Linked DNA regions of Caenorhabditis elegans. The protein of the gene in region 3 binds, or shares a complex with, the protein of the main gene of each other region. Each region holds a gene or a part of one and is shown on either strand. Other genes may lie near its edges.

Region 1 (3,676 bases), on a different chromosome or scaffold from region 3:
TGTTAATATAGATAAATAGAGAACAAAGGGATGATCGGTGATCTTTCAAGACCCGATTGATAACGGCCGGAGTGACGTTGAAACGGAAAAAGGACGTGACCCGAAAAAAGAAGGGATTGTTTACAAACTACACAAAACACAGATTTATAATGACTGGTTGGGTAGACATCTTTCGGAAGGGATCCGGATTGAGAAGGATATTCTAAAAGAAAAGATGAAGGGGAATCTATAGGTGAAATAGGGATTACAATCAACGAAAGGAATATTGCAATCCAAACTGTAACTCTAAAATTTCAGGTTCGCACTCTCATTCTTGCTGTTCATGAATACACTCAGAAACCAGTAAACATCATTGCTTGCTCCATGGGATCTCCAATTACCAGAAAAGCTATTCTTGGAGGACACTGTGTTGATAGTGGAGTCAATTTGGGACGCCCAATTAATCATCTAATTCATAATTATGTTTCTGTTGGTGGAGCAAATCACGGAGCTATTATGTGCGCCAAGCAGCCATTTGTGAATGGAATCTGTAGTTTAACACATGGTTTGGATTGCCGTTCCAAGTTCTTACAAGAGATCAACTCACAGTAAGTTTCGCAAAAAAAGTATCCCAGCACAGGGAATTGAACTCATGCAGGTGTGCGTGAAAGGCAAAACTTTTAGCCACTAAGCCAGCAAGGCTTTTCATTTTTTGGGTATACTAGGGCATACTTAAATTTAATTACGTTGTTTTCTGTACACATAAACATTAATTTCATGATTTTACAAGTCAACATTTTTTTCAGGCCGTTCCAATACGGAAAGAACATGTTCGCCATTTATTCCGTAGCTGACGAAGTTATTGGACTCAGAAATACGTGTGGAGAGATGTCCTCACCATTAGAAGGAGCCACTTCAATCGTCAAAACTAGACTAATGCATGGAGCAGTTATTGGTGGAACTACAGAAGATCAATGGAGGGCTCTTCAAACCTCATAAAAACAAAATCTCACCAAAAATACTAATTGACATCAAATTTCACTTGTGATCTCTTTAATTTCCTTGTTTATATTGATTCGAACTCGTTGCTTTCATTCAAAACTTTGTGTGTATATTGTTCAAAAGTTTAATAAATCAGTACAATCGTTGATTAAATTGGTATTTTGAACGAAAATGATCAGAATGTTAAATTCGTCCAAGTGATCAAGTCCATCAGGCGACTTGTAAGAATTCTCATAAGAATAGAGATAGGAAACTGCTATATTTCGCAGATCAATCTAGACACATGATACAATGTTGTGATTTTCTCCGAAAACGAAGATATTTATTATTTTCTTCAGAAATCTCTTCCGATGAGACTGAATAATCTGTGAAAACCGGAGCGGCGGCGCCATTTGGCTTTTGGGCAATACGGTGCGCAATTCTGCAAACACATGATCCCACGCGCAAATGCACAGATTTCCCAATGCGTCGTTGTTTCCCAAATTTTCGATTTTCGGGATATTTCTACATTTTTAAAAGATTTCCAGCCGTGTTTTTGTTGTAGAATATTTTTTTTACATATTTATAGTTTGTTTTTATAGATATTTGCTAAAAACTATGAATCTAGTTGAATATTCGCTTATTCTGGAAAAAAAAATCAAATACTTTAAAATCTACATGTTTTGAAGAGCTGTTTCTTTTTAATTCTGAAGTTTGTTAAACCATTTATTTGAAATTTTTTCTTATTTTATATTGCTAAAAACATAATCAATAGTTTTTCAGGTAGTAAAGTTACAGCTATGACTGGCATTAACGCGTGAGTTTTCACCCTCGAATAATTATTTACGTAAAGAAAGTTTCAGAATGGCTCCCGCTCCAGAAGTTGTAAGCTGGGCTGAGGCCGTTGAGCAAGACAGTAAGTTTTTCATTTCTCGTCTTCAAGAATATTTACGTGAACTTTCACGGTTTTCGCATTTGGAGTGCAACCGCCTAACAAAACGAGTCATTTCTGTATGAACTGATGAACGCTTTTGCAGACGCCCCACACATCCAGGAAGGAGCTGATGGAACACGTACCGAAACAGCTTTCACTGAGGTTGATGGAGTAAGATGGAAGGTTTGTTATCCGATGGCCAAAAAATTCGCCTTACAGAATTCTCGAGTTATGCTCTAGAATTCTTTCAATTCCAAATTTCAGGTTGTGACACAGTTCAAAGTTATCAACAAACGTGTACCAAAAGTCGTCGCTGATCGCAAAAAATGGGTGAAATTCGGAAGTTGTAAGGGAGAGCCAGCAGGACCCCAAGTTGCCACAACTTACGTGGCTGAAGAAGTCGATATGCAATTCACAAGAAATCGCGCAGGAGAGCAGATTCTTGACGTTCAAGAAGACAAACAGACTGCTAAAACTACAAGCCGTGAGCATTGCCGTCATTGCAAAGGAAACGACCATTGGAGTACTCATTGTCCTTACAAGGTCATGTACCAATTGGACGAGGAAGCTGATGCTGACAAGGATACTGAAAAGGATAGAATGGCAATGGGAATGCGTCCTGATGGAAGACAAATCGATAGAAATCGGTAAGCATTCAAAATACTGTAATCTAAGTTGCCCAAAAAATCTTGATGATTGAATAATTTATGAACTATTTTTAAAACATACTTTCAGATCCGATGAGAATACATGCCGTGTCACCAATCTTCCGCAAGAGATGAACGAAGACGAACTTCGTGATTTGTTCGGAAAGATTGGAAGAGTCATCCGAATCTTCATTGCCCGTGACAAAGTCACTGGTCTCCCGAAAGGATTCGCCTTCGTTACATTTGAATCAAGAGATGACGCCGCCCGTGCAATTGCAGAACTCAATGATATCCGAATGTACCATATGGTTCTCAAAGTCGAATGGACACGTCCGAGCAACTAATCCGTTTTCTGATTTATTTATGTTATGCGTACTTGGATGTTTTCCCGCTGTTTGGTTCTTCATAATTTCGTAGCTAGTGTCTGTCTAAACTGAAAATTACTGTAGACCAATTCGATGTTTGTTGTTCTTTCCTATTGAAATCATAATTTTTACTTTCTATGGTTATCAGAGTTGGCAAGTGAAGTTTATTTTCACGAAGGCAGTTCTAGCTATGAAAATTGTTGGTATTTCCTTTTCTTTCTTCAATGATAAATCTATCTCTTCCTGGTTATTTTTTCGTTCTATTTTTCCAATCGAGTTGGGTTTCTGTCCAATGTAAAATATCATAGTTTGAATAAAAATCTGATGGCTAAAAATTTTCAAACGCAATAGAACATTTTATAACTCAAAAATTCCAGATGGGCTTCTTGAAGATTCTCCGTAAGCAACGTGCTCGGGAACGCGAGATGAGAATATTAATTCTTGGATTAGACAACGCTGGAAAGACTACTTTAATGAAAAAATTCCTCGACGAGCCGACTGATACAATTGAACCAACATTAGGATTTGATATCAAAACCGTGCATTTCAAAGATTTTCAACTAAACTTATGGGATGTTGGCGGACAGAAAAGTCTAAGATCTTATTGGAAGAATTATTTCGAATCCACAGATGCTTTAATTTGGGTGGTAGATTCGTCAGATAGAGGTAGAAACAAATATTTAGGATACATTCAAATTTATAAAAACTTTTTTCAGAGCGTCTTCTACAATGCTCCGAAGAACTCAAAAAATTGCTCGGAGAAGAACGAT
Region 2 (5,019 bases), on a different chromosome or scaffold from region 3:
TTTTTTTTAATTTTGAAAACAAACGGGAAAAAAAATCGGGATCAATGGAAAAGATTGTTGTTGTCCTCCTGTTCTACTTATCTTCCCTCGAGACTGGAGACGCAGGCATAACTAGTGGGAGAATACACATAAGACTACGTTCTAGGTGAAAACCATGGACCTATAGGTCAAAGTACAGTCTATCACTGTACATACAAGACTACTCGTAAGAGAGATTAATAATTATTCGGAAAAAATTGAGAAGTAGTTGCGATGAGCGTAGAATATAAACAATCATAAATTAACTTCATAAGAAAAACCAAAAAAATTTACTAAACTTATTATGAACCATGGATACAAAATAATTGGGAGATAAGAGAAAAAAAGGAAGTTTAGGACCAAAACGAAAAGACAACAACAGGAGAAAGTGGTATAAATAAACGGAGAGATGTTTTTAATTTTCAACAAGAGATATAATGTTAACAAACGAGTGGGAGTTGGTGTGAAACTAAACGAAATTAACCGGAAATCAACCAGTCATGTTTCGTTTAGCTCAAATACTTTTTAAGGATCATGGTTTCTGGATATCGAGTCGTTTGAGCACATCCTGAACCTCTTGCAACTTCTGAATATGTCGAATGAAATGTTCACCGACGTGACGAGCAACTTTGGTATCGGCAATATTGATCATATCACGGTCTACGTAAAAGTCAATATCTGTTTGTGGCTCATCGTCGTCTGCTGATGATGGTCCGGCTTCTTTGCCAAGCTCATTGACGATCATCTGAAATTCAAAATATTACATCAACACTCGAGATCATCGGAAATTCTTATATATACCTTGTAAGTGAGAAGCTTTCCAATGAACGAATCATAGTGCTCATCATCAACATCCATGAACGACGCAAGCTTCTTAGTTGGAAGTGTTGTGTAAAGTTTCAGGTATCCACGAAGAACTGGTAACGCCATCTGTGATTCAATACCTTCCAGGAAAGATTGAGTTTGACGAAGAAGTGGTTCTTTCGATTGGTTGACTCCCTCATAGACAACTGTGGTTGGAGACAAGAACTTTGGACATCTGCAACAATACAATACTATACAATTACTTGACTAATTTCGTTTCCTACCCAGTAGCAAAAGCATTTCTGAATTCATCGATATTCCCGTTCGCCATGTGCATCATACGCTCACCACATCGCTCCGAAAGCTGAGAAGCAATGCTTTCATCGATTCTTTGTGGCTGGATGGCGAGGCAGATTGCAAGAAGATGGAAAAGCTGATCCCACGTCTTTCCAATCTGAAATCGGCAGAATATTATTGGGTCTTCATTAGATATTCAATTATTGTGCAAATATTGTGCAAAAAATTTAGAAAGTACTCACAACATCATATTGGAAGTTCTTTTTCGATGGCTGCTGATTTTGAACACTCTTTGTTCTTTGAATATAAAGCAGACAATTGACGAACATCTTTGTAGCTTCTCCGTAATTTCTCATCATCAAATGAGAAAATCCAACAAAGTAATGGAGAGTAACAAGGCAAGTTGGAACTGTATTGTAGATTCCTTTTGGATCAATATCCACGTATTGCACGGTTTTCAAAGCCTGATGATAGTCTCCTAGAAGAACGTGAGTGCGGAGAAGTCCGATGAGAGCGAAATATCCAAGCTTGAAGTAGAGATCCGATTGACCGAATTCATCGGCGACCGAATCCGGATTGCGTTTTTCCTGGAACGACTGTAGAGTTGAAAGCAAAAAAATAATATTGAATTAAACAAACCTTCAATGCCTTGAGCTGCTCCACAATTTGGGATTTTGATAGAAGCGAATAGAGAATGTTGAGAACTGGATAGATATTCCACGCGTTCTGATTTTCTTCGATATTGATGAGATCTTCAACTTCATCAGCATTGCGTTTTCCTGGGTTAGCCTTGTAGAGACAGAATGCCTGAATATTTATATTACGTACAAACTCTACCAAAAAATATTACCTGGAATTGATAGACGAATTCGTCGATAATATCCCAAAGCCACACGTTAGGGAGAGACAATGGAATTGGATCCTTGCTTGAGAGAAGCTCAGAGAATAACTCTTGATAGTTCATGAACGACTCATAGCGATGGACAAGGAGTGGTCCACGAGTATTTCTTGCATACAGCTGGCGATAATAGAGTTCCTTGTAGAGAATTATGAACAACTTGTTGCCAGGTCCAATAATTCTTTCGACAACATTCTCATCGGGCCACATGCGATCACGGAAGAATCTGAAATTAAAAGATAAATAGAAAACAATTTGAGATTATTAAATATTACCTCTCGGTGAGATCTGGAAAAGCTTGATCGTAGAGAGTCAAAATTTCCGGCACATTTTGTTCGTCAACCATGCGGGAAAAGTAGACCAGGTAGTCGGCGACCTCATTTGGAACTCCATCCTCATCGGCTGAAGCTGTTAAAAATTAAGAAATGAGATAAGTTTGTGTTGTTAACAAGCACCTAAATAACTACCATAAATATGTTTATAGAATTACTCTATTGATTGATTATCAATTTTTCTTTTGAAAAGATTTCACAATGCACGATCATTGATCCTCTGATACTCAACTTCTCTCTCGGGCTTTTAAATGATTAACTTCTTATGAACTCTTATGAACACCTTTTCATTTATTATTTCTTTCAAATGAATAAAGCTGTGATTCATTTAATCTGAGATTTGAGGATATTCGACACCGAAAAACACTGAAAATGACAAAAGTAGTCATTTTCATATACAATGAGGGAGTTCTGAGAATTGGCATTGATTCTTCACTGTAACAGTATTTGGAAAATTTGGTTTTTCTGAATTTTATGTATTTTGCTCATGGAATGTTAATCTGCAGTTTTTATGCAAAATTATTTCAGACCAAATTCTCCAAATGTCTGTTTGCCGAATTAAAATAAATCGGTTAATCAAAAAAGGACCGAGTCTTCAGTCTTTTCGAACTGTTTCAAATTTTAACATTTTTCAACTCATTTTACTCTTATTCATCAATTCTGAAAAATAGCATTCTGTGAACTTACAAGAAAAGGTGTTGGTGCGACGACGATCAGAGTGATCTTCAGTGGATAAATCGAATTCCACGCGTCGAGACATTACTGAAAGAAGGTTTTTATATTGATATTATTTAAATGTCAAACTAAATTCGAAAAGGTACGCTAAAATTAAGAGAAAACATTTTTTTAATTGTAAAATTTGATGAAAGGAATTGGAAAATGTGATGGAAAAAAGAAAATTGCAAGCGTTGCATGGGATTTCGCAAGAGTGCCGCACGGTTTTTTGTGTACGCATTTGCTCGTCATTCATGTTGTCTAGGCAGTTTTGATGACATTTTTTATTCTAAAAACAAAATGTTTTATTTCATTTGCTGTTTAATGTTTGAATATGTATGGAAACTAATTTGATACCCTTTCCGCTGCATTATTTTTGCAAAATCTCAAAATTATATATCTTCAATTCACTACCTAGAAGGCATATCTTCCTGCATTTAAAAATCTATTTTATTTCAGATATGGTAATTGAAGTCCCTCAAACTGAGCGTGTCAACGACGTTGATGTTTTTTTAAGCACGCAAGATGGTCAAATTCAGCGTCCAAAAGGGCCCAACTGTCGGCATCCTGTACGTCAAAAGTGCACTAATTGTTTGCCTGTTGATGTAAGTGATATTTTCTGTTGTTTTCATAGAAACTAATATCAATATTTACAGCCATTCGATGAAGAATATTTGAAAGAAAAAGATATCAAGCATATGAGCTTCCATGCACATGTTCGCAAGCTCCTTGGATCCCAGGGGAAGGGCACGACTCTCAAAAAACCGCTGGAAAACTTTCGATGTTCATTAAAACCCAACTGTGATGCTCACAAGCCGTTCCCGAAAGGAATTTGCACTAAATGCAAACCACAGGTTGTAACATTGAATCGTCAAAAGTTTCGTCATGTTGATAACATTCAAATTGAAAATCAAGAGCTTGTAAATCAGTTTTTGGATTATTGGAGACTATCGGGCCATCAGCGTGTTGGATTTTTAATTGGACAGTATCAGCCTCACCTTGAAGTTCCACTAGGAATCAAGGTAAGTTCAGTACTTCATCACTCATTTCTTGAGACGAGTTATTTCATTGCTCATACTTTCAGGCTACAGTGGCTGCAATTTATGAACCTCCACAACACTGCCGTGAAGATGGAATTGAGTTTTTGGAGGATAAAAATCAAAAAACTATTGACAATTTGCTGGAAATGCTTGGCTTGCAACGTGTTGGATGGATCTTCACAGATTGTTGGACAGCTAATAGTGCTGAAGGAACTGTACATTATACACGGCACAAGGTGAGAACAATCTCGAAGAGAAGCCCAAAAAACGAATAATTTTTCAGGATTCCTTCTTCCTATCAGCTGAGGAATGCATCACCGCAGCAATGCTTCAAAATCAACATCCAAACATCACAGAGTACTCGATGGATCGTCACTATGGATCCAAATTTGTGACCGTTGTTGCATCTGGTGATGAATCGATGCATGTTAATTTCCACGGATATCAAGTTTCAAATCAATGTGCGGCCATGGTTGAAGCTGATATTCTCTGTCCAACACTGTACACTCCTGAATTGGCTTATGTTCGAGAGACACCATTATCCGAAGAACATTATATAACTGATGTTCAATTTTCGATGAAAAATGAATACGGAGCCGAGGTTATGAAAAACGGACGACCACTTCCAGTTGAATATTTGCTGGTGGATGTTCCTGCTGGAATGCCAAAAGAGCCTCACTACACGTTCCACGTTGGCACATCTAATAAATCGAAGAGTGCCAAATTTAATGTTGAAAATCGACAAGCAATTGGACAACTTCAAGGAGGTGCAAATTTGATTCAATATTCATCCGAATTCTCTACAAATCAATTTTTGGAACAGGCTACAAACTTCCACTTTTTGCTCTATTTAGTAACCAATGACCAAGTGCAGATTTCTGATGAATGGATGAAACGATTGTGTGATGCAGTTAAA
Region 3 (6,416 bases):
ATTTCTGTGGGTTTTGTGTAGTCATTATCCTTGAGACCCTCCAGTGTCCTCCAGGAGAGCGGGAAATCCTCGAAGCGGAGAAATGTGCGGGAGCTTTTCTGGAAAAATCGATTTTTTAATAAAAAAACTATTTTTTAGAGCTACCTTGAGCATTTCCTGATATTTCTGCTCAACTTCGTCGAGCATTGTCTCCTCCTGTCCCTTTAAATCCTGTTTTCTCTTTTTCAGAAGCCGCTTCTCCTTCAACGCTTTTCTGACACTTGGATCCTGCTCGCCATCGAAATTTCGTTTTCTTTTATTATTTCCAGCCCATTTCTGTGCTCCGCCGCCTTTTCCGTTTGTGTGAGGCATTGAAAACGCTGAAAATTGGGTAAAAATATTTAAAAATTGCAGGAAAAATCGTGCGCGGCAGTTGCGAAAAAAGCGTGCCAGGGTTGCATTCTGACTCCGCCCACAATTTTTCTTAATTTTTAATTGAGAAAAAATTAATTTTTTTTAAAAATATAATAATTGGAGATTAAAACCAAGAAATTCGAGGGAATAGATCAATTTTAACTCAAAATAATATTTATTTATGAAAAAAAAAACAATTAAAAGCCACCGAAAATTGATCTTAAATATGGAAAAAATGGAAAAAACAGAAAATCACCACCGCGTAATTTTAGAATTTGATAAATTTTAAAGGTTTTCCGAACTGCATAGGCTTAAATTCGTCATTTAAACTCTAAAATTAGGCGGTTTTCAACAGGAACGAGTAGGAAAAAGGGGGAAACGGTCTTTTTTTGGCAAATACGATCGCCCGGGAAACAGGAAGAAAACGAAAACGTAGAACAAATTAAAAATCGTAGGTGAAGCCGAGGTAGTCCTCGTCGAACTCTTGAATTCTGATGTAACCTGGAAAAAAATCAATAATTTTTGAATTTTTATATGAAAAATCCTCAAATCGCACTGCAACTTTTTTTTGAACGAGGGACGAGGAAATGCGGTTTCTAGGCCATGGCCGAGGATCCGACAAGATTTATCGGCAATTTATCTTGCAATGTTTTCCGCGAGTTTTCTTTTATTTTTCACCGATTTTTCCCCCGTTTTTTTCTTATTAAAACTGATAAATAAATTTTTTTAAAACCAGATGCTAAAATAATTTCCAAGTGAAAAAAATTGTGAATTCAGCCGGCAAGTAGCGGTGAAAGTGGTCAATGTAATATGATGGATTACGGGAATACTAAACACTAAACTTTTTTCGAAACATGATACATATGCTGCTTAGAGGCTGAAACTACCTGATTTTAATAACGAGACCGCTGAAAAAGTTTTTTGAGATTTTCAAAATTCAACATTTTGTGGAAAAATCTCGACTTTTTCGCCAAAAAGGTTGAATTTTGAAAATCTCAAAACTTTTTCAGCGGTCTCGTTATTAAAATCAGGTAGTTTCAGCATCTAAGCAGCATTTATAGCATGTTTTGGAAGAAAGTTTAGGTTTAGTATTCCCGTAATCCATCATATTACATTGACCACTTCCACCGCTACTTGCCGGCTGAATTCACAATTTTTTCACTTGAAAATTATTTTAGCATCTGCAAAAACAATATTTCTTCATCAGTTTTAATAAGAAAAAACGGGGGAAACATCGGTGAAAAATAAAAGAAAAAACGCGGAAAACAAAGCAAGATAAATTGCTGATAAATCTTGTCGGATCCTCGGTCATGGCCTAGAAACCGCATTTCCTCGTCCCTCGTTCAAAAAAAAAGTTGCAGTGGAATCCCCATACCGTCTTCTCCTCCAGTCGCGATAATTGTGCCCGATGGATGCCAGGCCATCGTGTTAATCGGTCCGAAATGTCCCTTGAATCTGGCGAATTCCTCTTCGAACACCATATGATAGATCTTGGCTTCAAAGTGTCCAGCAGAGACAGACGTCTGTGTGACCTGCATCGCGTCTTCTCCTCCTCCAAGGCAAATGTGATCGCGATTCGGTGAGATGCATGCCGAGTTGACGGGACGCTCGGATTTGTATTGTTTCAGCTTTTTCAGATCGTTCACGTCGAGCAGGGCGGCCGTCTTGTCGCGTGAAGCGGAGATCAGGAAATCGCCGCGTGGTGATAGTTGGAGATCTTGGACGCTGTACTGAAATTTTGGGAAATTTTTTTTTTGAAATTATTTTAGAAATCACGGAGGCACCACGGATTAAAGATCTCGTCGAATTCCGGATCTGGCACCGTGCCAACTGCAGTTTTCGCAGTTTTCTCGAAGAAAAATGTGGTTTTTTTTTAAATTTTCTTCAGGAAAAACGCTAAACAACACGCGATGCGTAACATCGGAGCATCGTTGTCAGGATTTTTTCCAGAAAAATTGCGTTAATTTTTTTTGAGTTGGTACGGTGCCAGATCCGGAATTCCACAAGATCTTGAATTTCGTGGAGCCTCGGTCTTATAATCATTGGAGCGCGCTTGCTGACACCTCACGAACTCCCGAATTCGCGGAATTTTGTTTCCACGGGAAATAAGGTTTTTTTGCTAATTTTGGTTTCTATGGAAATTAATATAAATTTTTGATGGATATTGTTGTTGGGAAGCTTTATACGACTCGAAAACGCGTAAAATTTAAGGTTTTACATCAAAAATCGGGAGTTTTTTGATTTCAGAATTTTAAAATATACATTTTTTGTAGAGAAAAATACAGTTTTAATTGATTTAATTGGTTTTTTCATTGAAAAAAATTAGAATAATCAAAATAATCAATCACTGCCGGATTTTGCTGCTTTTTCTCTTCAAAATGAGATTTTCACGGCTTTCAAATCGAAAAAACTGCCGATTTTGTTCCATTTTTCGAGAAAACTAAATTATTTCTTCGAATTTTTGGTTTTAATCTTGTGTGCGGAGTCAGGATGCAACCCTGGCACGCCTTCTTCGCAACTGTGCCGCGCACGGTTTTTTAATGCGAAATTTCGCCAATTTTCCAAATTGTACACACTTTCGGCTCTAATAATGTTTCCCCACAACAATAAAAACCAAAAATTAGCAATAAAATTTCCGCCAATTCAGGAGATCGTAAAGTGTCAGCAAGCGCTCCAGAGAACAACGAAAAAATGACGAACACGATGAACACTCTCGTTAGTGTGAATTGGTGTATCCGGATTTCTCAAATCGTACTGCTGAAGGAGTCCAGACTCGAATCCGATCGTCACGAGGTCATCCATCTGAGTGAAAAGTGCGGTCGTGGCGTTCACATCGAATTGTGAGTAGAAGAATGACTCTCCACCCTCAACCATTTGACTTGAATCACGAAGATCTCGGACTTGGAACGTCGAGAGATTCTTTGTCATCTTTTGTGTGGTGAAGCACACCAAATTTCCTGAATACGAGAATCCGCACGACTTCATCGGAGTCTGATGGTTGATTGTGTAGAGGCAGTTGCCGAGCTCGGCATCCCAAATCTTCACGGTGAGGTCTCCGGACGCGGTGACACACTTGGTAGTGTCCCATGAGACGTCGATATCCCACACGGCTCCGTTATGCCCGTCGTAGCTACCTGAAAAGAAAAATAATAAATAAATATATTTAAAAGGTGGAGTAGCGTCAGTGGGAAAATTGCTTTAAAACATGCATATGGTACCACAGTGACCGAATATCATGATTAAAAATTTCAAAAAAATTTTCTAAATTTTATATGATTTTTTGAAAAATTGAAAAAAATCTCAGTTTTTGCCTAATTCCAATTTTAATTACCGCCAATTGGATTTGTTCGATGGAGCGCGCTTGCACGTTTTAAAATTTATTTATTTTATTTTTTGTTATTTTCCAACGATTTTTAATGTTTTCGATGTATTTTTGCTTGAATTTTAGAGAAAAAGTCAAAATAATTGCAAATTTTCGATTAAAAAGCACGCTTAGAGGCGTAAAAAATGAAAAGTAACGCTTTTAAACGATTTCGAACCTGAATTAATAAATTTCACTGATTTACGCCTGTAAGCGTGCTTTTTAATTGAAAATTTGCAATTCTTTTGACTTTTTCTCTAAAATTCAAGCAAAAATACACCGAAAACATTAAAAATCGGTGGAAAATAACAATAAATAAAATAAATAAATTTAAAAACGTGCAAGCGCGCTCCATCGAACAAATCCAATTGGCGGTAATTAAAATTGAAATTAGGCAAAAACTGAGATTTTTTCAATTTTCAAAAAATCATATAAAATTTAGAAAATTTTTTTGAAATTTTTAATCATGATATTCGGTCATTGTGGTACCATATGCATGTTTTAAAGCAATTTTCCCACTAGCGCTACTCCACCTTTAATTCTGCGAAAATTTTTCGCGAAAATATTCAAAAATACCGATTCTCTCTCCATTTTCAGTATACCAAACGCATGGCTTCTTGTCCTTAGCACAGGAGAACGTCAAATCTCCCTCACGATTGAAACGGACCCGAGTGAGAGCACGTTCGTGGCCTTTCAGCGAAAGTGGACGCATTTCTGAAAGAAATCCCCTATTTTTGAAGGTTTCTGCGAGAAATTGGTGGAATATTCGGCAGTTTTGATTATAAAATGAATTATTGGCTTAATTATTAATAAATTCCATTAAAAAAATGAAAATTAGAAGCCAGAAAACATGGGAAATATTCGAAAAATAAGCGAAAAAACAACAAGAAATAGGATTTGGCTCAACCTCCGCAATTTGGCGTGACAGTGTTTGCGGACTTGCGTACCGTACCCCCGCGCAGAATAATCGACATCAGCTGACGAAATTTCGATTTTCAGCAATTTTCAGCAATTTCGAGTGGTTTTCAGTAGTTTTCAACAATTAAAAAGTGAATTTTATCAAATTTTTAGCAATATATTAATTAAAAACTCAAATTTTAACATGTTCCACCACAAATAACTGCTAAATTTCGCAACTCTCAATTCTCATCGATTTTTTTGCGAAAGCTTCACCGAATCCAGTTTTCAGAGATCGATAATGTTACAATTACGACTAATAGCTGGCCTACGGAACGCGTCAAACACTATCAGATCGCAGGTATCGTTAAAAAACCCGAGAATTTCCGGTAAAATATTGATTTTCAGGCAGTTTACCGCAGTTTCTCGTCACTGACAAAATCACCAGCACTCATCAGAAATGCCACACAGATTCTTAGTAAAAATGTGGGGTTTTGCGATAATTTGTTGAAAAAAACGTTTTAAAATCCTTAAAAAACATTTTATAGAAATTTCCATGAATTTTTAGGTTAAAAATATGTATTTTCACATTTTTTAAAGCTAATTCCAGAAATTTTTGCCTCGAAAAAGTTAATTTTTAGCCAATTAGAGCGAAAAATAAGCTTGTGGTCTCGAAGCGAAAACTACAGTCTCTAAAGTTAGAATTAAATTTTGCTATGCGCCTTTAAAGCTTTTACGGTAGCTGAGATATCGATTTTTCTCTTTTATAAATTAATTTTTTTCTGAATTTTCTTCAAAAAATTCCATTTTAGGCCTAATATATATCGAAATTTTCACTTTTTCTGCTCAAAAAATATATAATTTCTAAAAAAAAAAGCAGTTTATTTTGAAAAAAAAAACAGAAATTTGTGAAAAAGTTGCTGGAAAGCACCACTGGAACGTGGGAATCTTTCCAGAACTGGAAAAATCTAGCATTTTTCTTAAGAAAAGTCCAGTTTTTCGGGGAAAATTGGATTTTTTCACCTTAAAATCATTTTAAAAAAATGCTTAAAAATCAACAAATGGAATCTGCGAAAATTGGATTTTACCTCGAAAAATATGATTTTCAGTAGAATTTTAATGGAAAAATTGAATTTTCCGTTGAACTTCGTTCAAAGTAGCAACTTTCCGTGCTTAGAATCGTATTTTTAAGCAAAAATACGATGAAATAGCACGTTTTCCAGGAATTGTGTTGTCGCAAGCTTCAAACAATTCTCAAAAATCACAAATTTGAGATGAAGCTCGGAAGCTCCAAAGGAACTTGGAAAGTTGCATTTTTCATCCGAAAAACCCAGTTTTTTGGTGTAAAATTAGGTTTTTACACCCTAAAATCATGAAAAAATGCTCAAAAATCAACTTTATTAGCTCAAAAAGCACCAAAAACGTGTCCCAAATTCGAAAAAAGACATTAAAAAATCAATTAATTCTTCTTCTGAGCTTCTGATCCGAACTCAAAACTGAGTTCTCCTTCGTTATTCTGCTTACATTTCACATTTTGTCCATTATCAAGTTGTCCACTGGCATTCAACTCTAACAGCTCATCGGAGCAAACGAAACCTGCGGTTTACCTCGAAAAATATGAATTTCAGTGGAATTTTAATGGAAAAATTGAATTTTCCGTTGAATTTTGGTCAAAATAGCGATTTTTCGAGCAAAAAATCGTATTTTTAAGCTAAAATACGATGAAATAGCACGTTTTTCAGAAATTGTGCAGTTTTGTTCAATC
Region 4 (4,989 bases), on a different chromosome or scaffold from region 3:
TTCTATAATAAAAATTACCAATATATAAGCTGAGATCCTCTTTTCGGTGCTTTTTCAAAAATCGATCAATTGCTTCGCGTTTATTTCGCAACGCGTTGAATTTTGCTCTCGCCAGGGGTCCCGGCTGAAAAATTGATTTTTTTTCGTTAAATTTTCTCATTAAAAACCCCTACTTTTACATATTCTTCGCCCAAATCGCTGCATGAGGCTGTCTGCCACTTATCTACGAGCACCTCTTTCAACGGCGAATTTGGCTCCGAAAACGATGAGTGCATGAACGGGTTAATTGCTAAAATTGAAGTTTAAAGTTTTTTATAGAAATTTTATTTTAAAAAAGTATAAAAAGAACAGAGTAAAATAGAGAAAGTGGATTAAAAATTGACAGAAAACCCGATGAGACATTTGTCGTCAAATTTAATGCAAAGTGTGCATACACCGTCACGTCACATTGCACCATTTGTGGAATTTTTAATAAACGTGGAATTTTTTTTTCAGAATCACAATTTTATAGCGCTGAAAAATATAATTTATGAATTTTCACTTCTGTTTATTTGGAAAAAATCTGAAACATCAACTAATTCATCAACATTTTATCGGCAAAAACCACCAGAAAACACGGAGAGACGGGAGCAACAAGAGATATTAAAGTGGATAGAGAGAAACAATTAAATAATATTAGGGCCGCCCAAAAGAAGCTTGAAAAAACCTTCTCCATTCAGGCATCATAAAGTTAAATTTGCCATAGAAAAAGGCGTTGTTCAGAAAATGACGACATGACTGGGAAAATGAAGAGGAAAACGAAAACGAGTACATGGTGGAACCACCAAAAAGAGGGGACGCCGCTCCAAGTCTTCGAGAAATCAGGAAGAAAAAGCAGCGCATAAAAAAGGGGAAAAACCGGGAAATCAAATAACTAATTAGTCTCTCATCTCCTCCTCCGTCAGAGGGGCTTGTGTTTTGCTTGTGCTCAGCGCAATGGTAATCTCCTCATCCACAAATTCGTCCTCGTCGAGTTGGGCTTCTGTGTCCACGCCGTTTCGAAGAGAGATTCTCTCGTCACGGGTGGCGTCGAGTTGCTCGCGATTCCGGCTTCGAATAATATCGAAGGCAGCCATGATCTTGCGTCGCTTCTCAACAACCTCCTGACTGGCTCTGCACTTTTCGTCGTCATCCTGCTTGATGAACTTGGCGGCGGTCTTCTTCAAGTTCTTCTTGATCTCACGCTGCTTCTGTTCGCTCAACTTCACCGGCGGCCGTGGTCTCCACTTGAATTGGGCGAGCCGGTCGAGATTCTTTCTGCACAGTTCTCTTCCCTGGAATGTGAAGATTCGGTAACCCAAATCGGCTCCGGCTCTTCCTCCCAACGTTGAGCATGTCACAAAGTATCTTCCAGTTGGATCCCAATATCCCTTATTGAAGAGTGGATGTTCTATAACATTAGTTCTCTTGGCCTCCGACAAAGAAGTATCAATGAAATAGACGTTTCCTCCAGCTGACACCTTGGCGAGAACTGCAAGCCATCCTCCTTTCGGCGCGAATTGAACCTCATTGAAGTGAACTCCAGCGTCCAACTTGCTCACAAGCTTCGGTGCGTGGCTGTTAGCCTCGATCTTGTAGACTTGTGGAGTGGCCTTAGCGGTGTTTCCCACGAGCACACAGAACTTATCGCCTTCTGGATCCCAATCGAAATGGATGAATGGCTCCGAAAGTGGGAGATTCATAAGGGAAACGTCCTTCTTGTCAATCTCGAAGATGTCCACGTGGTATTGGCATCCTCCCTGAAATTATATCATTATTATTATTATTGTCATAGGCCTCAAAAAATCCTTTAAAAAACTCAAAACTTACCACATATTTGACTTCTCCGGTCTCTCTGTACTCCTTCTTCTTGAATCTCATCGTGTAGAAGGCCAATCGCTTTCCGCTCTTCTGCCAGAACATCTGAGCGTCGGCGACATTGTGAACGCGAGCCGAACGAAGTCTCTGCATTGATGGAACTTGCAAGAGTCCAAACTCGGCTGGAACGGCGTCAGTGCACTCTGAATAGTAGGCGAGGACTGTGGATGTTGGCGACCACTCGAATTGCTTGATATTCTCGATATTCACGGGACGGCCTTCATAGAGCTCGAACTTCTCGGATTCGAAGATCGAAATTCCGTTGATCTTCTGCTCACGCTCAAGCTTATCCTTTTCTGGAGCCTTGAGGCACGCGAAGTACTTCTCATCGAATGACCATCTGAAGAATGGCCAGGTTGGGAGCTGAGTTCTTCCGGTGAGCTCGAAAGTGGAAAAGGCCTTCTTCAATTCTCCGGTTCGGACGTCCCAAATTCTCAAACTATCCTTCTCACAGTCTCCCCAGCTGTTCGACTCTTCCGGAGCGGCGTAGGTAACAAGGTAGGTCTCACACGGCGAGAAATCAATGTATTGAACGTTGGTATGAGCGAAACGGTGGGCACGAGCGTAGTCTTTGCCTCCCCAAAGTATGATTCCTTGCTTATGGATCGTGGAAAGGTAGGAGCCGTGTGGTGACCAAGTGAAGACGGTTTCGGTCCAGTTCTGGAAAAAAAAATTATTTCATTTTTTAAAAACAAATAATTCTCAAAACTTACAGCTCTTTCAGCCTTATCGGCATCTCCTGCAAGCTCTGGATCATTTCCCTTCATATTGGTGAACACTCCGACAGTTGGAACTCCAAGTTTATCGTGGGAAATTGCGAACTGATCACGGCAACGCTCGTTTTGAAGCCACCACCAGAGATCTCCAACGTCATTATAAGCCTGCTTCTCTGGAGTTGTCCAGTGATCGGAAGGAGCTTCGAGTTGCTTCATATCCTTGAAAGAACGGGCGGTGAATGTGTGATTCTTATCGAAAGCATATCCATTCAAACTTTTCACGGCGAACTGAGCGGATCGTTGATCGGCCCACTCGGTGAGCAGAACTCCCTGGAAAAAATATATTAAAATCGATATCGTTTGCGTGAATCTCACCAAGCAACCTCCTTCTGGACTTGGCGGAATGTAGAGCTTCACTGCAGGATCCAACCTCTCCAGAACCTTCTTCAGTACACTTTGGAGTTTTCCAAGACGGTCAGCTCCAACAACTGGGATTCCCGCGATGAAGACGCAATTGTCTTCAAATTCATCGATAGTTGGTTTCTTGTGGAGAACGTCAGGAACGAGAACTGAAATAAAAACATTGATTGTTGGCTATTTTTTGGAATTGATTTCAAAAAATTGAATAAAAAACCAACCATCATCGGTGACGTCGTCAACAAATCCTGGCGGATCCGAAAAATCTTCTTCGTTCTCTTTATTAAAGTCAATTTCGACCATTCTGTGTAACCCAACTAGTCTGAAACTTTAGACACGGTTTATTGAGTAAATTGTGAGATATTTTAAAGGAAAATGGAAGGAAAAACGAGATAAGTTGAATTTTTACAGAATTTTCTCCGAAAATTGTGGAAAAATGTTGGAAAACGCTGGAAAATCTGAAAAATAGGACCGATATTTGGAATATGAACAAACTCTAAACAACACCCATGCGGGAGAACGGAGCGTCGTTGCAAGCGCTCGACCGAAGAGAATCCTAGGCCGCGTCCATGAGATTTGCGCGGAATTTCAAATAGAGATAATTTTGAAACTCAAACGCGAATCAATGCATTTATAAATATTTAATGAAAGAAAAATGGGTGTACGCAAACACCAGACTTTACGAAGAAATGCGGACATTTGCCCTTTTTTCCGGAGAACGCGGCAGCGAGTACATTTTAAATATATTTATCGATCAGTTGTTTAAGTAAATAGCACAATCGATACCGAGCTCCAGTCGATGCCCGCTCAACAATCAAAGAGCAAGCAACAATCCAAGGGGGTAGTCCTCACAACAATGCTGCTGACCGTTTACTGTACAAATCACGCAATTTTTACTATAACATGATGATTAGTATACATTATTCTCAATGGATTCGTCCTTGCAGATGATTTGCTATGAGTGTTTCAGTAAAAAGTTGTTGAATCAAAGAAGTTTTGGATTTTAAGAAAGAACTTGAAAACTTAAAATAATTCTGATAGTCTTAGGTCGTTTCATATTCTGGGTTAGATGAGTTTTGTCGACTGTGCAACAGAAAGGTTTGGGCTTTACATTGGAAAAAGTGAGTGTATTGCATCGGAAGACTATGTCTGGATACGGAGTTGTGTTTTTGTTAGTTTTACTGTAACATGATGATTAGTTTACATTATTCTCTTTGGATTCGTCCTTGCAGAGTATGGACTATGAGTGTTTCAGTAAAAAGTTGTTGAATCAAAGAAGTTTTGGATTTTAAGAAAGAACTTGAAAACTTAAAATATCTCTGACAGGGTTAGGTCGTTTCATATTCTGAGTTAGATGAGTTTTGTCGACTGTGCAACAGAAAGGTTTGGGCTTTACATTGGAAAAAGTGAGAGTATTGCCGGTACAAAATCTGCCAGCTTCGACGGAAGGGATAGCTTGTATAAAACGAAAAGTTAAAGGCAAAACCACAAATGATTTTTAGCAGTTCTTTTTTATTCTTCTGCGGATCGTCTTGCTTTTTCATGATTGATGATTCTTGGTTCTCCATGATTAGTACGGTAACACAGCAGCATTTTGTCAAGCTATGTTTTTGCGATGAGCGGCCCTGTTTGATGACCTAGCGGCACTCAATTGCGCGCTCAATCGAATGACTGGTTATTTAAAATCGAAAATAGAGGTGGGGTAGGCGATTTTTTTTGGAATTTTTTTAGTCTGCTACTTGATACATATAGACACTTTCGTATCTATAGAAATTTGATGTTCTTCAAATGCCACACCTCTAATCGATTTTTATTTGGCTAGCACAATCGATACCGAGCTCCAGTCGATGCCCGCTCAACAATCAAAGAGCAAGCAACAATCCAAGGGGGTAGTCCTCACAACAATGCTGCTGACCTTTTACTGTACAAATCACGCAATTTTTACTATAACATGATGATT

The links.
Region 1: eif-3.I (region 3) and eif-3.G share a complex: the UniProt entries of both Caenorhabditis elegans proteins name them as parts of the eukaryotic translation initiation factor 3 (eIF-3) complex.
Region 2: eif-3.I (region 3) and eif-3.L share a complex: the UniProt entries of both Caenorhabditis elegans proteins name them as parts of the eukaryotic translation initiation factor 3 (eIF-3) complex.
Region 4: eif-3.I (region 3) and eif-3.B share a complex: the UniProt entries of both Caenorhabditis elegans proteins name them as parts of the eukaryotic translation initiation factor 3 (eIF-3) complex.

What each region holds. Positions count from the first base shown.
Region 1 is NC_003280.10:8,441,024-8,444,699, forward strand, and holds eif-3.G (Eukaryotic translation initiation factor 3 subunit G), read left to right. Parts: upstream 1-1,743; 5' UTR 1,744-1,760; coding exon 1,761-1,777; intron 1,778-1,823; coding exon 1,824-1,876; intron 1,877-1,997; coding exon 1,998-2,077; intron 2,078-2,158; coding exon 2,159-2,541; intron 2,542-2,629; coding exon 2,630-2,885; 3' UTR 2,886-3,152; downstream 3,153-3,676. Other genes in the region: lips-10 (LIPaSe related), read left to right, coding at 298-587, 786-978; evl-20 (ADP-ribosylation factor-like protein 2), read left to right, coding at 3,284-3,572, 3,623-3,676. UniProt on the Caenorhabditis elegans protein: RNA-binding component of the eukaryotic translation initiation factor 3 (eIF-3) complex, which is involved in protein synthesis of a specialized repertoire of mRNAs and, together with other initiation factors, stimulates binding of mRNA and methionyl-tRNAi to the 40S ribosome.
Region 2 is NC_003280.10:5,619,373-5,624,391, forward strand, and holds eif-3.L (Eukaryotic translation initiation factor 3 subunit L), read right to left. Parts: upstream 3,110-5,019; coding exon 3,037-3,109; intron 2,426-3,036; coding exon of another isoform or gene 2,420-2,425; coding exon 2,293-2,419; intron 2,244-2,292; coding exon 1,970-2,243; intron 1,927-1,969; coding exon 1,759-1,926; intron 1,716-1,758; coding exon 1,362-1,715; intron 1,277-1,361; coding exon 1,107-1,276; intron 1,058-1,106; coding exon 820-1,057; intron 764-819; coding exon 551-763; downstream 1-550. Other genes in the region: npl-4.2 (Nuclear protein localization protein 4 homolog 2), read left to right, coding at 3,525-3,668, 3,720-4,085, 4,148-4,339, 4,387-5,019. UniProt on the Caenorhabditis elegans protein: Component of the eukaryotic translation initiation factor 3 (eIF-3) complex, which is involved in protein synthesis of a specialized repertoire of mRNAs and, together with other initiation factors, stimulates binding of mRNA and methionyl-tRNAi to the 40S ribosome.
Region 3 is NC_003279.8:2,483,919-2,490,334, reverse strand, and holds eif-3.I (Eukaryotic translation initiation factor 3 subunit I), read right to left. Parts: upstream 4,475-6,416; 5' UTR 4,467-4,474; coding exon 4,331-4,466; intron 3,528-4,330; coding exon 3,094-3,527; intron 2,124-3,093; coding exon 1,769-2,123; intron 895-1,768; coding exon 836-894; 3' UTR 548-835; downstream 1-547. Other genes in the region: ddx-10 (ATP-dependent RNA helicase), read right to left, coding at 1-98, 145-351; abtm-1 (Iron-sulfur clusters transporter ABCB7, mitochondrial), read left to right, coding at 4,953-5,012, 5,060-5,137. UniProt on the Caenorhabditis elegans protein: Component of the eukaryotic translation initiation factor 3 (eIF-3) complex, which is involved in protein synthesis of a specialized repertoire of mRNAs and, together with other initiation factors, stimulates binding of mRNA and methionyl-tRNAi to the 40S ribosome.
Region 4 is NC_003280.10:14,793,772-14,798,760, reverse strand, and holds eif-3.B (Eukaryotic translation initiation factor 3 subunit B), read right to left. Parts: upstream 3,358-4,989; 5' UTR 3,333-3,357; coding exon 3,251-3,332; intron 3,182-3,250; coding exon 2,988-3,181; intron 2,943-2,987; coding exon 2,610-2,942; intron 2,557-2,609; coding exon 1,849-2,556; intron 1,779-1,848; coding exon 918-1,778; 3' UTR 526-917; downstream 1-525. Other genes in the region: tbc-20 (Rab-GAP TBC domain-containing protein), read right to left, coding at 19-124, 174-275. UniProt on the Caenorhabditis elegans protein: RNA-binding component of the eukaryotic translation initiation factor 3 (eIF-3) complex, which is involved in protein synthesis of a specialized repertoire of mRNAs and, together with other initiation factors, stimulates binding of mRNA and methionyl-tRNAi to the 40S ribosome.